Saccharomyces cerevisiae S288C: one gene and its partners. The gene in region 2 interacts genetically with the main gene of each other region. Each region holds a gene or a part of one and is shown on either strand. Other genes may lie near its edges.

Region 1 (3,310 bases), on a different chromosome or scaffold from region 2:
TACGTTGGTCATCTCATAGAAGAACGCAAAGTACACAGGAGAATTCTTTACAAGAAGTTGTTGCTATCGATACATTATTGAAGATGTCCTCATCGGACTGAACTAATGATTCGGGTTTCGCATATATACATGGCTTTGGCTACTTTTAGGTTTATAGTTCTTGCTGTTTATATCACTAATATTTAGTATATAGCTGCGAAGAAAGAAAAAGAAAATATTCACCTCTAGGAGCCAAAAACATAAAAAAAAAAATAATTAAAAAAAACTTTTATTGAATGCTTAATTATTTAGTGACGCGATTACCTATATACCAGGTTATTTATTTTTTCTTTTTTCAAAGGAAAACAATACAAAATATTACTGTTACCATTTTTGTTACTATTATTATTGTCTTTATTACTATTATTTTTCTATCGTTGCTATAATTACAATTTGTTTACTCTACAACTTAAAAGGAGATTACTCCAGACAACGAGTTTTGTTTTATGTTTCCTATTCTTTTAATCTTGGAATTTGTATGAACCACTTTCTAATGTAATGGATCCACCTCTGTAAGAACCTCTCTTCATTTTATTTTTGTTCTTCGTGAAATCTTTACCTCTTACTCTACCTAATTTTTCATTTGCCTTTTCACCCCATGTTCCAGCCGCGCCTTTGTAGGTGTTGTCTGTCAACTCCCAAGCTTCGAAATTAATCTTCGATCTATCTACTCTGGAAAAATGCTTTCTTTGGCCCTCTTTGATCTCGTCGGTTCCAGCAGGAATGTTCAATTTATTGGCGCTTGATGAACTGGAAGCAGATGGAGTTGATTCGTTAGATGAGGCAGGCGTTTCTTCGGCCTTGGATTCGTCTGCAGTTGCTTCTTTTGTTTCCAATTCAGAGCTAGAACCAGAGTCTGAGTCGGAATCCGAATCGGAGGAATCAGAAGATGTAGATTCGTCGGAACTTGAATCAGACGAGCTTGAAGAATCGGACGAGCCTGAAGAGTCTGAGTCCGAGCTTGAGTCGGAATCCGAATCTGAATCCGAGGAAGAGCTGCTAGAGCTGGAGCTAGAGTCGGAGTCAGATGAAGAGTCGCTGGAGCTGGAGTCGGAGTCAGACGAAGAGTCGCTAGAGCTGGAGCTAGAACTTGATTGAGAATCTGATTCAGAATCTGATTCGGAATCAGAAGAACTACTTGAGCTAGAACTTGAGTCAGAATCAGATTCCGAACCTGATTCTGATTCTGAAGATGACGATGACCCGCTAGAGCTTGACTCCGATGAGGAAGAGCTTTCTGGTTCAGTTTTAGCCTTTTTAGTCTCCTTAGCATCTTCGTTGTCTGATTCTCTTGCTCTTTTCTTGGTTTCATCTTCTGATTCGGATTCCGAAGAAGATTCGTCAGAACTAGAGCTAGAGGAAGAAGAAGATCCACTGGAGCTAGAGTCGGATTCACTAGAAGATTCAGAGTCACTGGAACTTGAGCTTGAGCTAGAAGAAGAAGATGATGATGAGCTAGATTCAGAGTCACTGCTGTCACTGCTGTCACTGCTGCTGCTGCTGCTGCTGCTGCTGCTGCTGCTTGAAGATTCGCCGCTAGAACTGGACGAGGAAGATGAAGAAGAAGAGGAGGAGGAGGAGGAGGAGGAGGAGGAAGAAGAAGAAGAAGATTTCTCTTCAATCTCCTTCTCCTTAACACTTAATTTTGGCACTTCGTCAACTTTAATTTTCTTGGAAGCCATTGCTATGTATTCTTAGTGTACTGCGACTTGGGTTTCTTTCTTGCTTTGTATAAAAGTGCGATGAGTTCAATCATCAAGTGAATTTTTTTTTTTCAGCCTGCATTGAAAAAAAAAAAATTGTATGCTCGAGCGATGGGAAGGTTTTTTCCTCTTCCCGTTCAAAGCTTCCTCGGACCAACTCCACTTTTTCTCGGCCCGTTGTAAAGAAATGGGTAAGAGAACTAAATTGCAATAAGCTTCGAATTATCGTTTTGATCCAGACATAAAGAGATGTACAAACTACAAAACAAGAGTAAAATAACTCGAACGAAGGGTACACCTTCTGTAATAAAACAAATTCACTATAACTGCCTTATTGGAGTGAAAAAACAAGATTATGTAGACCCCCTCTCGCGATAAAGAACATTAATGACTGCAACACCCGCACACCACAAGGTGAAGGGCAAAGGTGAATTAACCAAAGTGAAGAGGACGACGTAGAATCAACCAGGTATCCTTGATAAGGGGAGGAGTAAGAAAAAAGTGTGTCGAACGTAAATTTATGTGTCTAATGAAAGTATCTTCACACTAAGATTATAATTCTCCTTGGCAAAACAAAATGACACCTTTGTCCTGTTTTCGTTATCTACTTTTTTTTGTGTCAGATGTCATTTTGGTCTCCTACGCATCCACTACATCCTTGTCACAATTTGTTATCAGTAACCAACTTAGATGACTTGCACCAGCGCCACATCTTCGAAAGCGTTGAAACAAACTACGTAAACAAACAAAAAGTCAACATCCTGTAGATGTGGCTGCAAAACCACAGAATCCTCGTGTGGGAGAAAATATTGATAGGACCAGAGCGAACTTTTTTGATACAGACGTAGGAGGTAGCCGTTACCGCATTAGTATACTATATGCGTACGGCCGCCAAGAGCCCAAGAAAGAGACACAAAACTACGTGGGATAAGCTTGGGGTAACGCAATCAGTATTGTTCATTTTTTTTCCCGGAAAAGCTAAGAGTTTTCTGGCGAGATAAGATAACGGCGCCGAAGGCAGCGGCGAACTGACTTACCTCCGTCGGCTCCGGCGTACGGCACCAAAAAATCCCGCAATAACTTGACACCAATGGGCTAACGGCGTCCGCAGAACCGTGACGCAATCTGCGGTTTGTGTCAAGACAGAGAAGTGGGCTGCTTCTCCCCTTTCAACACTCCCCTCCCATGGCTGAATACTCAGACGTTTTCTGTGGTGGAAATGGCATCAAAAGTGCCACTGGCTGGCGAATCCAGACTATTTTGTGTCAAAGAAACATGCGTACCTGCACAATAAAAAGAAAAGGCCCGCCCTACTGACATCCTGTTCAGGATCCTCGAAGAACAGGAAAAAGGACAACCGTCCTTTTCACTTCACGTTCGCAGGGCTTTCCTCGATATAATGGCGATTACACAAGCGGTGGCGTCTTGAAAAAAGTTGGGTTTCTTATCTGTACGGCGATCACTCCCCTCATATGATAGCTGTGTAGAGTGACTTGCTCTTTGATTGGCCTTACTTCTTGCATCTATCATCCTTTCTTTTACTCTCTCCAATCACCACAACTCATATC
Region 2 (5,420 bases):
TTGTATCATCAACCTCATCTATTTCCATTCGGTCATCTTCTTCCTCATCAGCTTTAGCAGCACTAAAATCCAATGTATTTCGCAGAGGTGATGGGCTCGAGGGAAAATGGGGCATAAATCGGTTGATAAGCTGTGGTGACAAAGTTGGCCCCTGCTTAGATATACTTAGGTCGGAGAGGCCTCCTAACTCCTCGTCAACGTGTTCCATTCCGCTAGTGAAACTGTCTCTTATGCTCAAATTTTCAAAACTTTCCATATGGAAGATCCTATATAACGTTATAATACAACTACTCAATAAGCAAGTATTGCGATAAACAAGCGACTATTTGATGAGATGCTATACCTTTGATGAAATTAAGGGCCCAACTTGCTTTTGTATCTTCTATTGTCTTAGGGAATTTTGCTCTATTTCATCTAAAGTTTTTTTTTCTTTACTTTTTGTTTTCGCCAATACAGGCGTCGCAAAGTGCAGCAAGAATATTTAGCGAGTTATTTGCTTCCACTTAGATCGGTGAACAAGTTGAAATATTCATTGAATGTCATATCCTCTGTACCAAGAGTTTCCTTGTCAGTGATGTCCAAGGGAATAATTTTGCTTTTCAAGAAACGGTCCTGACTGCCACCGGTTTTAGTTTCAACATATAATGGCTGCGGAAACCTTTGCAAGTCATTTAAAAGCTTGCAACAGAGCTCGCGACCTTCTTTTTCCAAAAGTTTTCCCCTTCTTAAAACTAAGTACGAGCCACCATCTACACAAATGGTGGTTTTATCATCTTGAAGTATCTGGGCTCTTGTTAATGGGACATCCAACACGATCCAGTCGTGTTTCAAATCACTGTAACTCCAGATGAAGGGTTTGCATAATGAAAGGCATGTGTCTTTAGAAGCGTTTATTATTCGGTGAAGAAAAAGGTACCTTTCATCAGGTGAAGTATTCCGAACCGATAGAATTGGAGACCTATATATATGATAACACCACTGTATCAGATTGACCATATCTACGTCTTTTCCCCGGATTTGATTTGGTAATAGAAACAATTGCTTCATCAATTCTTTAGTGTGCTTGGATGAGTAAGCAAAGCTATCGATAATTCGTGAGGCTATCTTTTTCATTGAAAACACAATTTCATTTTGTGCCCCAAATGATCTATTGGCTTTTGGCAATAAGAGGGTTTCAATTCTTATGTATTTTTCCGTTTGATTTTCAAAAGTGGTTTGAAACTGTATAGGAGCTTCAGCTGAATTGTGACCTAGTGAGATTTCTAATGGTAGAGAAAGGTTTTTAGGGTTTAAGCTATATTTTGGGAAGTCCTTAACGACAATAGCGTTCTTTGCGGTCATTATCTTTGAATGACAATTGTAAATGGCATTATGGTCACGCAAGTTCAGGTACTTTTGAAAAGACATTGCGAATCTCTCATCATTGAATGAATCAAACTGAGAAACTGCCATTGACGAAGTTATTAATGGACTCATTTCGAGTATACCGATTTGATCCAATGAAGCTATAAAGAATTCATAGATTAACGATTGGTTTGCAAATTTTTCAAGCATTTTCTTGTAAAATTTTGTCGGACTTTTTGATAGTTGCAATTGTGAACTTTTGGATTCAAAATGGTGGTTTTGTCTCATGCTTTCACCACGTTCTCTTGACATAACTTTGCCGCCACCCTTAGTACATGGACCATTCAGGAATGAAACTATATGACAGTAGGCTGACAAACTGCACTGAGACGCCAGTACGGATGAAACGAACAGCGCTAATCCGGTGCAACGCTTGTCCCTTTTAGAACTGATATTCACTTTGTTTGCAATCTTGCATATTTCCCGTAGCAATTTTCTTAAAGAACCCTGAGTAGATTTATCAAACCAGTATGATTCTTGATTGATTTCTGAAATTTTTTTCTCGAAGTAACTGGCATTTAATTTATCAAGATTATATTTGGTCATAAATTCATTTATTGAAAATACAGCATCACGTCTGTGATTCACAGCATTGTGTAAAATCACATGACCTGATTGCTGAATAGTAATTATTGATAGTGGCTCTTGTTGTCTTGTGATGTAATTATTACATAGAATGGAAACTAAATAATTTAGCTCATGAGGATCGCAAATAGCGTCTATAATCATAATGGTCCGTCTTGAAAGTATTTCTTTCTTTGCAGAAGTCAATGTATAGGTGTTGGAAGGTACCAGTGGCAATTCAGCATTTGAGTTTGATTGGTTGCAGAATAGACAAGTCCAAACATTCTGTTCTCGTAGGGAACAAGCCATCGAATAATAGGCGCCACATTTGGTGCATTTTAGATTTTGGTCATAGTTCTGCGTCACAGCATCGCTGGAAAAGGGCTCATATAAGAAATTAGTTGGAGAACACATAGGCACTTCCTTGGCCAAATTTGGTGCTAGATTGCAGTATTGTACAAATACAGGATTCAGTACCTGATCACTATTTTTACTCTTGATATTTTTTTTCCTTAAAAAAAATCAGAAGACAATAATGATAGAAAAAAACTAGGAATTCTTGAATTCATATGCATGGAAGAAAAAGGAATACAGGGAACAGACTTTTCAAAGCGAACAAACAGACCTTAACCGATGGCCGATTTCTTATTGAGACCAATTAAGCAACGTCATAGAAACGAGGACAAGTACGTGTCGGTGGACGCTGCAGACGGATCGGTGTCTAAAATTGAGCCCATCGCAGATTTTGTAATTAAGACAAAACTATTATCCGCTAATGGGCCGGAAAAACTGCAAGATGGCAGGAAGGTGTTCATCAATGTTTGTCACTCTCCGTTAGTGCCCAAACCTGAGGTCGATTTTAATGCAAGGATAGTGTTCCCGCTCATCATCCAAAACGAATGGGAGATTCCTATTATTACATCCTGCTACCGCATGGACCATGACAAGAAGGGGCAGGAGTGCTATGTGTGGGATTGCTGCATAAATAGCGATTGCTCGCGCTGGATATGCGATGATATCCAACTGCGAGAGATACTGGTCGAATGGTGCTTGGAGTCATGTGAGATCCGAGATTCGGTGGTATTGTGCAGAGATCGCATTGCATTCCCCAAGATGAAGAAGAAGGGCGCTGAGCTTCCTGCACTAGAGGTATTGAATGATGAGTTACATCAAGATTACAAGGCAAAAATGCATAAAATCATAGAAGAGGAGGCCGGAGACCCGATGAGTATATTGAGAGGAAGGAATGACGATGGCGATGATAATAATGATCCCGACGATGGAACACTACCACCATTGTTCCCTATCGAGAACAAAATCTCCGGAGCCAAGATAGAGGAGATTGATAAGAACGAGATTGCTCACAGAAACCTGAAACAGGCACCTGCACCTGCACCTGCACCGCACGAGCAGCAGGAGGACGTGCCGGAATACGAGGTAAAGATGAAGAGGTTCAAAGGGGCCGCCTACAAGCTGCGAATTCTTATTGAGAACAAAGCTCCGAACTCGAAGCCGGACCGGTTCTCTCCGAGCTACAACTTCGCAGAGAATATTTTATACATTAACGGTAAGCTGAGCATACCTTTGCCGCGCGACATAGTCGTGAATGCAGCAGATATCAAGATTTTCCATATCCGCAAAGAACGCACACTATATATATATATATAAACTAACATTTCGAGTATTCTTTTGGTTTTTGTTGTGACTAATACGAACGAATATATAAAAGCGGGAAAAAGGAGAGAGATATGATGTGCATCTATAACAGAATTTTTTTTTTTTTTTTTAATCCGGTAAAAAAAAGGGAATATTCTCAAAATTGCGGAGGGAAAGCGATGTTTTCTCTATGTGCTACGTATTCACTCACACTGTAGCCCAAAACATCGTGAATCTTCTCACTGGGTAAGCCCTTGATCTTCGCAAGCTCCAGACTCGTATAATTGGAGCGGACGCATCCAACAGACTGAATCGGCTTCGAGATATCCAATTCGCCATTGGGTAACCGCTGGCCTATTTTGAGATCAACGCATTCAAGTTCGTGGAAGTTGTCTCGGACTTCGATCACGGCGTTTGGAGTCAGACTAGCCATATCCTTTGACAAAAGTTTATCATAGCTGTTCTCGTCGATGATAATGGCGCCCTTGGTAATGAGCCCGTGCAGAATCCAAAATTCCCTGTTCTTAAGCTTGTGTTTGTTGTCATTAGCTAAGAACTTGGTGTGCATGGGAACATCGTAGCGACGCAACTGTTCGAGCTCCGTATCCTGAAGATCGAGAAACTGCTGCTGTGTGCCGTTTCCGATATGGCGCGGAGGGCGGAAGTGATGCTGAATGTAGTCAACGATCTTCGGGACGTACTCTGGACGGTCGCTCTTCATCACAATAGTCTCGATACCGGCATTAGAGGCGAGGTCGGCGGCTATGAGTTTGGTGCGCATTCCGCCCGTGCCAACCTCGGAGCCTGAACCACTGGAAGTGTTGACGCCCGGAAGGCCCTCTGATAGCTCTGGCACGAGAACAATAGGACGAGCATCCGGATTAGTGCGCGGATTGTCTGTATATAGGCAGTCCACATCTGTGAGCAAGAACAGGAAATCCGCCCCTACAAGAGCAGCGGTAATGGCAGAAAGCGTGTCGTTATCGCCGAACTCGATCTCGCTAATGGATAGCGTATCGTTTTCGTTGACTATAGGGATGACACCCATGGCCAGCAGTTCGTTGATTGTATTGCGTGCGTTATTGTACTGGTTCCAACGCAGTATATCGTTACGCGTGAGCAGGATCTGCGCTGTTTGCTCGCCATACTGGGAAAACAGCATGTTCCAGCGCGCGATGAGACGGCCTTGTCCGACAGCGGCAATCGCTTGCACTTCAGACAACTGCTTAGGCTTGTGCGGAATGTTGAGAGCGTCCAAACCAACGGCAATGCCGCCGCTGGATACGATGATCACTTTGTGGCCCATGCGCTTAAGATTCGTCACGGTCTCGACGATTAACGTCATGATGGACAACTTTGGCTCTTTTGTGCTCTCGTCGACGAGCGACGAACTGCCCAGCTTGATAACGATAGTATAAGCTTTTGTCATTACACCCTTCGATATGCCTTTTCTCTTCCTTTTGACGAACAAAATCAAAAACAAAAAAAGTGGTAATGAATAATCATATGCACGATGCACACTCTATATATATATAAATGAATGTATGCACGAATGTGTATGTGTATGCATACATAAAAGCACATGAAGGGCAGCAAACTTTTTCAAATGCAAAAATGCATGCCCGTTTGGTGCCGTACGGGCACGTGTATTATTTTGCCGGTGGCATGCCACATGGCGAAACCCTTAAAATTACCAACATAATTGGCTAGAAGACTGGGTGTGATGCGGGGGTGGGGGTGTGCATCTCCCCTATACGTCATTCGACCCTGAAGGAGTTTCATGATGTATGGGTCTC
Region 3 (2,950 bases), on a different chromosome or scaffold from region 2:
AAGAATGATGAAGACACAATACAGGTCACTTCGAGCATTGCTGGTAATCATGGTATTATTGCTGACATGAGGTATGTTGGCCCAGAGCTGAATAAATTAGCTTTAGCTACCAATTCTCCATCGCTTAGGATAATACCCGTCCCCGATTTATCAGGCCCAGAAGCTTCGCTGCCTTTGGATGTCGAAATTTATGAAGGTCATGAAGATTTGCTAAATTCATTGGATGCTACTGAGGATGGCCTGTGGATCGCAACCGCCTCTAAAGATAATACGGCTATTGTTTGGAGATACAATGAGAACAGCTGCAAGTTTGATATTTATGCCAAGTATATTGGTCATTCAGCTGCCGTAACTGCTGTTGGATTGCCAAATATAGTTTCAAAGGGATATCCTGAATTTTTATTGACAGCATCGAATGATTTAACAATTAAGAAATGGATAATTCCAAAGCCAACTGCTAGTATGGATGTTCAAATCATCAAGGTATCCGAATATACTCGTCATGCCCATGAAAAGGATATCAATGCTTTGTCAGTTTCTCCTAACGATTCTATTTTTGCAACAGCATCATACGACAAGACCTGTAAGATCTGGAACCTAGAAAATGGTGAATTGGAAGCCACGTTGGCCAACCACAAGCGTGGACTATGGGATGTATCATTTTGCCAATATGATAAATTATTGGCAACTTCTTCAGGTGATAAAACAGTCAAGATATGGTCATTGGATACATTCAGCGTTATGAAAACATTGGAAGGTCATACCAATGCGGTTCAAAGATGTTCGTTTATTAATAAGCAAAAACAACTGATCAGTTGTGGTGCTGATGGCTTGATCAAAATATGGGATTGTTCTAGCGGTGAATGTCTGAAGACTTTGGATGGTCATAATAATAGATTATGGGCTTTAAGTACTATGAATGATGGTGATATGATCGTAAGTGCTGATGCAGATGGTGTTTTTCAGTTTTGGAAAGATTGTACGGAACAAGAAATAGAAGAAGAACAAGAAAAAGCTAAATTACAAGTCGAACAAGAACAATCGCTTCAAAATTATATGAGCAAAGGTGATTGGACAAATGCATTTTTGTTAGCAATGACTTTAGATCACCCAATGAGGTTGTTTAATGTTTTGAAAAGAGCTTTGGGCGAATCAAGGTCTAGACAAGATACCGAAGAGGGCAAAATTGAAGTCATTTTCAATGAAGAATTGGACCAAGCCATCTCTATCCTAAATGATGAACAGTTAATTTTGTTAATGAAACGATGCAGAGATTGGAATACAAATGCAAAAACACATACCATAGCGCAAAGAACAATAAGATGTATTTTGATGCATCATAACATAGCAAAATTGAGTGAGATACCCGGAATGGTAAAGATAGTTGATGCAATAATTCCATACACGCAAAGGCATTTCACAAGGGTTGATAACTTAGTTGAACAAAGTTACATATTAGACTACGCGCTAGTGGAAATGGATAAGCTATTCTAGGCAGTAAGTCCAAGATATTGAGCCTTTAAAAGCAAGGCAATAGCAACATATTATTTTGTAAACTAGATATATAAAGACAAAATGCATTGATGAAGCGGAAAGCTTAAAATAATTCGATATATAATTAGGTGCCTTTACGGGCATTGAAAACTTCTTTGCGCGAAGAGCTCATCACTAAAAATTTGCAAAAAACGAAGAGCGAAAACTTTCATATATTGTAGTAATATATACAAGAATTTAAACTGCCCACTTGAAATAGCACGGAAAGAACTAGCCATAATATATTATACAGGATGTCGGCAGGTGATATATCAGCCATAAATATCAAGTCTGTCAAAAAAAACAGAAGGAGGAAGAAGAGAAGAACAGCTGATGTTTCATCATCAGATTCTTCATCATCGGATCCATCATCAGAAAGTGAAAAGGAGGAAATCCAAAATGGGGCCATCGAAGAACACGTTGGAGAAAATGGTAAAAGTGATCATGTTTTCTCAAAAGGTAATGACGAAGACAAACAAGAGGACATTGCAATAGAAGTTTCGGATGTCGAGCTTACAGACGAAGAAAGCAAGGATTTGAAGTTAAATTCAAAAGAAGTGATAGACGATTTAACCAAAATTTCTTTGAGCAAGATCCCAGAGCCTACGAAATCTCAAAACAAGGAGGGTTTTATGAATGCATCGAAAATTGCCGAAAATATCAAGCTTGCGAGAGAAGAATACAATGAATTGGCAGAAAACTTTGTGCCCAAAGGGAAAGACAAGACAAAGTTAAGGGAAGAATACTTAAATTTACTTTTTGAAAACTACGGTGATGATATCAATCGTCTTAGAGCTGCCCCGGATTTCACGAATAAATCACTATCCATTTTGGCAGATGCTCTGCAGGAAGGCATAGGAATGTTTGATATTGGTGAACTAGAATTGGTCTTGAAAAATAAAGAAATGGAGAACTGAAAAATATTGCTTTAAATCTTTTTCTAAAAGTTTGTCATGTTTCCGCGGAGAATATATTGACGTGCACATTAATTATTTAGATAATTCTTCGATTTTTAATGAAGAGCGGTCCTGATCCAAGTTGTGCTTCATATGGTATAAAGCTGATTCCAGTATACTGCACGAGAAGTATATGTATGTATTTTGTAATTTATATAAAGGCAAAAAAAAGAAAAACACTTGGGCATAATGGAGGAGAAGATCTTATGACCTGATAGTCAAAGAGAAAAAGAAAAAAGCAGAAGGAGCAAAGAAAGGCGGCGACCAAATGACGAATTAGATCCAATGAAAAACGATTCAATGCGAATAAAGGTTATCATGGATCACCTGATGGGCCTCTTGGCAATAGAAAAAGAAACTAGTTTGAAATTCATTAATATAAATAAATTTAAAGAGGAGAATATAGAAACAAATTAAAACGTAAAAGAAATGTATGTCGAGAAAATCCAGCCCAGTTCCAA

What was found.
Region 1: mutations in PIH1 (region 2) and SRP40 together harm fitness more than expected from each alone (negative genetic interaction), as found in Saccharomyces cerevisiae (4 studies listed by BioGRID, with this or other methods).
Region 3: mutations in PIH1 (region 2) and RSA3 together harm fitness more than expected from each alone (negative genetic interaction), as found in Saccharomyces cerevisiae (3 studies listed by BioGRID, with this or other methods).

What each region holds. Positions count from the first base shown.
Region 1 is NC_001143.9:612,165-615,474, forward strand, and holds SRP40 (Srp40p), read right to left. Parts: upstream 1,722-3,310; coding exon 501-1,721; downstream 1-500. Other genes in the region: DNA-binding protein SRL3, read left to right, coding at 1-101. UniProt on the Saccharomyces cerevisiae protein: Not known; weak suppressor of a mutant of the subunit AC40 of DNA dependent RNA polymerase I and III.
Region 2 is NC_001140.6:175,181-180,600, reverse strand, and holds PIH1 (Pih1p), read left to right. Parts: upstream 1-2,601; coding exon 2,602-3,636; downstream 3,637-5,420. Other genes in the region: BRL1 (Brl1p), read right to left, coding at 1-256; GTPase-activating protein NEL1, read right to left, coding at 490-2,382; YHR033W (putative glutamate 5-kinase), read right to left, coding at 3,782-5,053. UniProt on the Saccharomyces cerevisiae protein: Involved in pre-rRNA processing and required for the NOP58-snoRNA interaction.
Region 3 is NC_001144.5:577,862-580,811, reverse strand, and holds RSA3 (Rsa3p), read left to right. Parts: upstream 1-1,787; coding exon 1,788-2,450; downstream 2,451-2,950. Other genes in the region: U3 snoRNA-associated protein UTP13, read left to right, coding at 1-1,494. UniProt on the Saccharomyces cerevisiae protein: Required for efficient biogenesis of the 60S ribosomal subunit.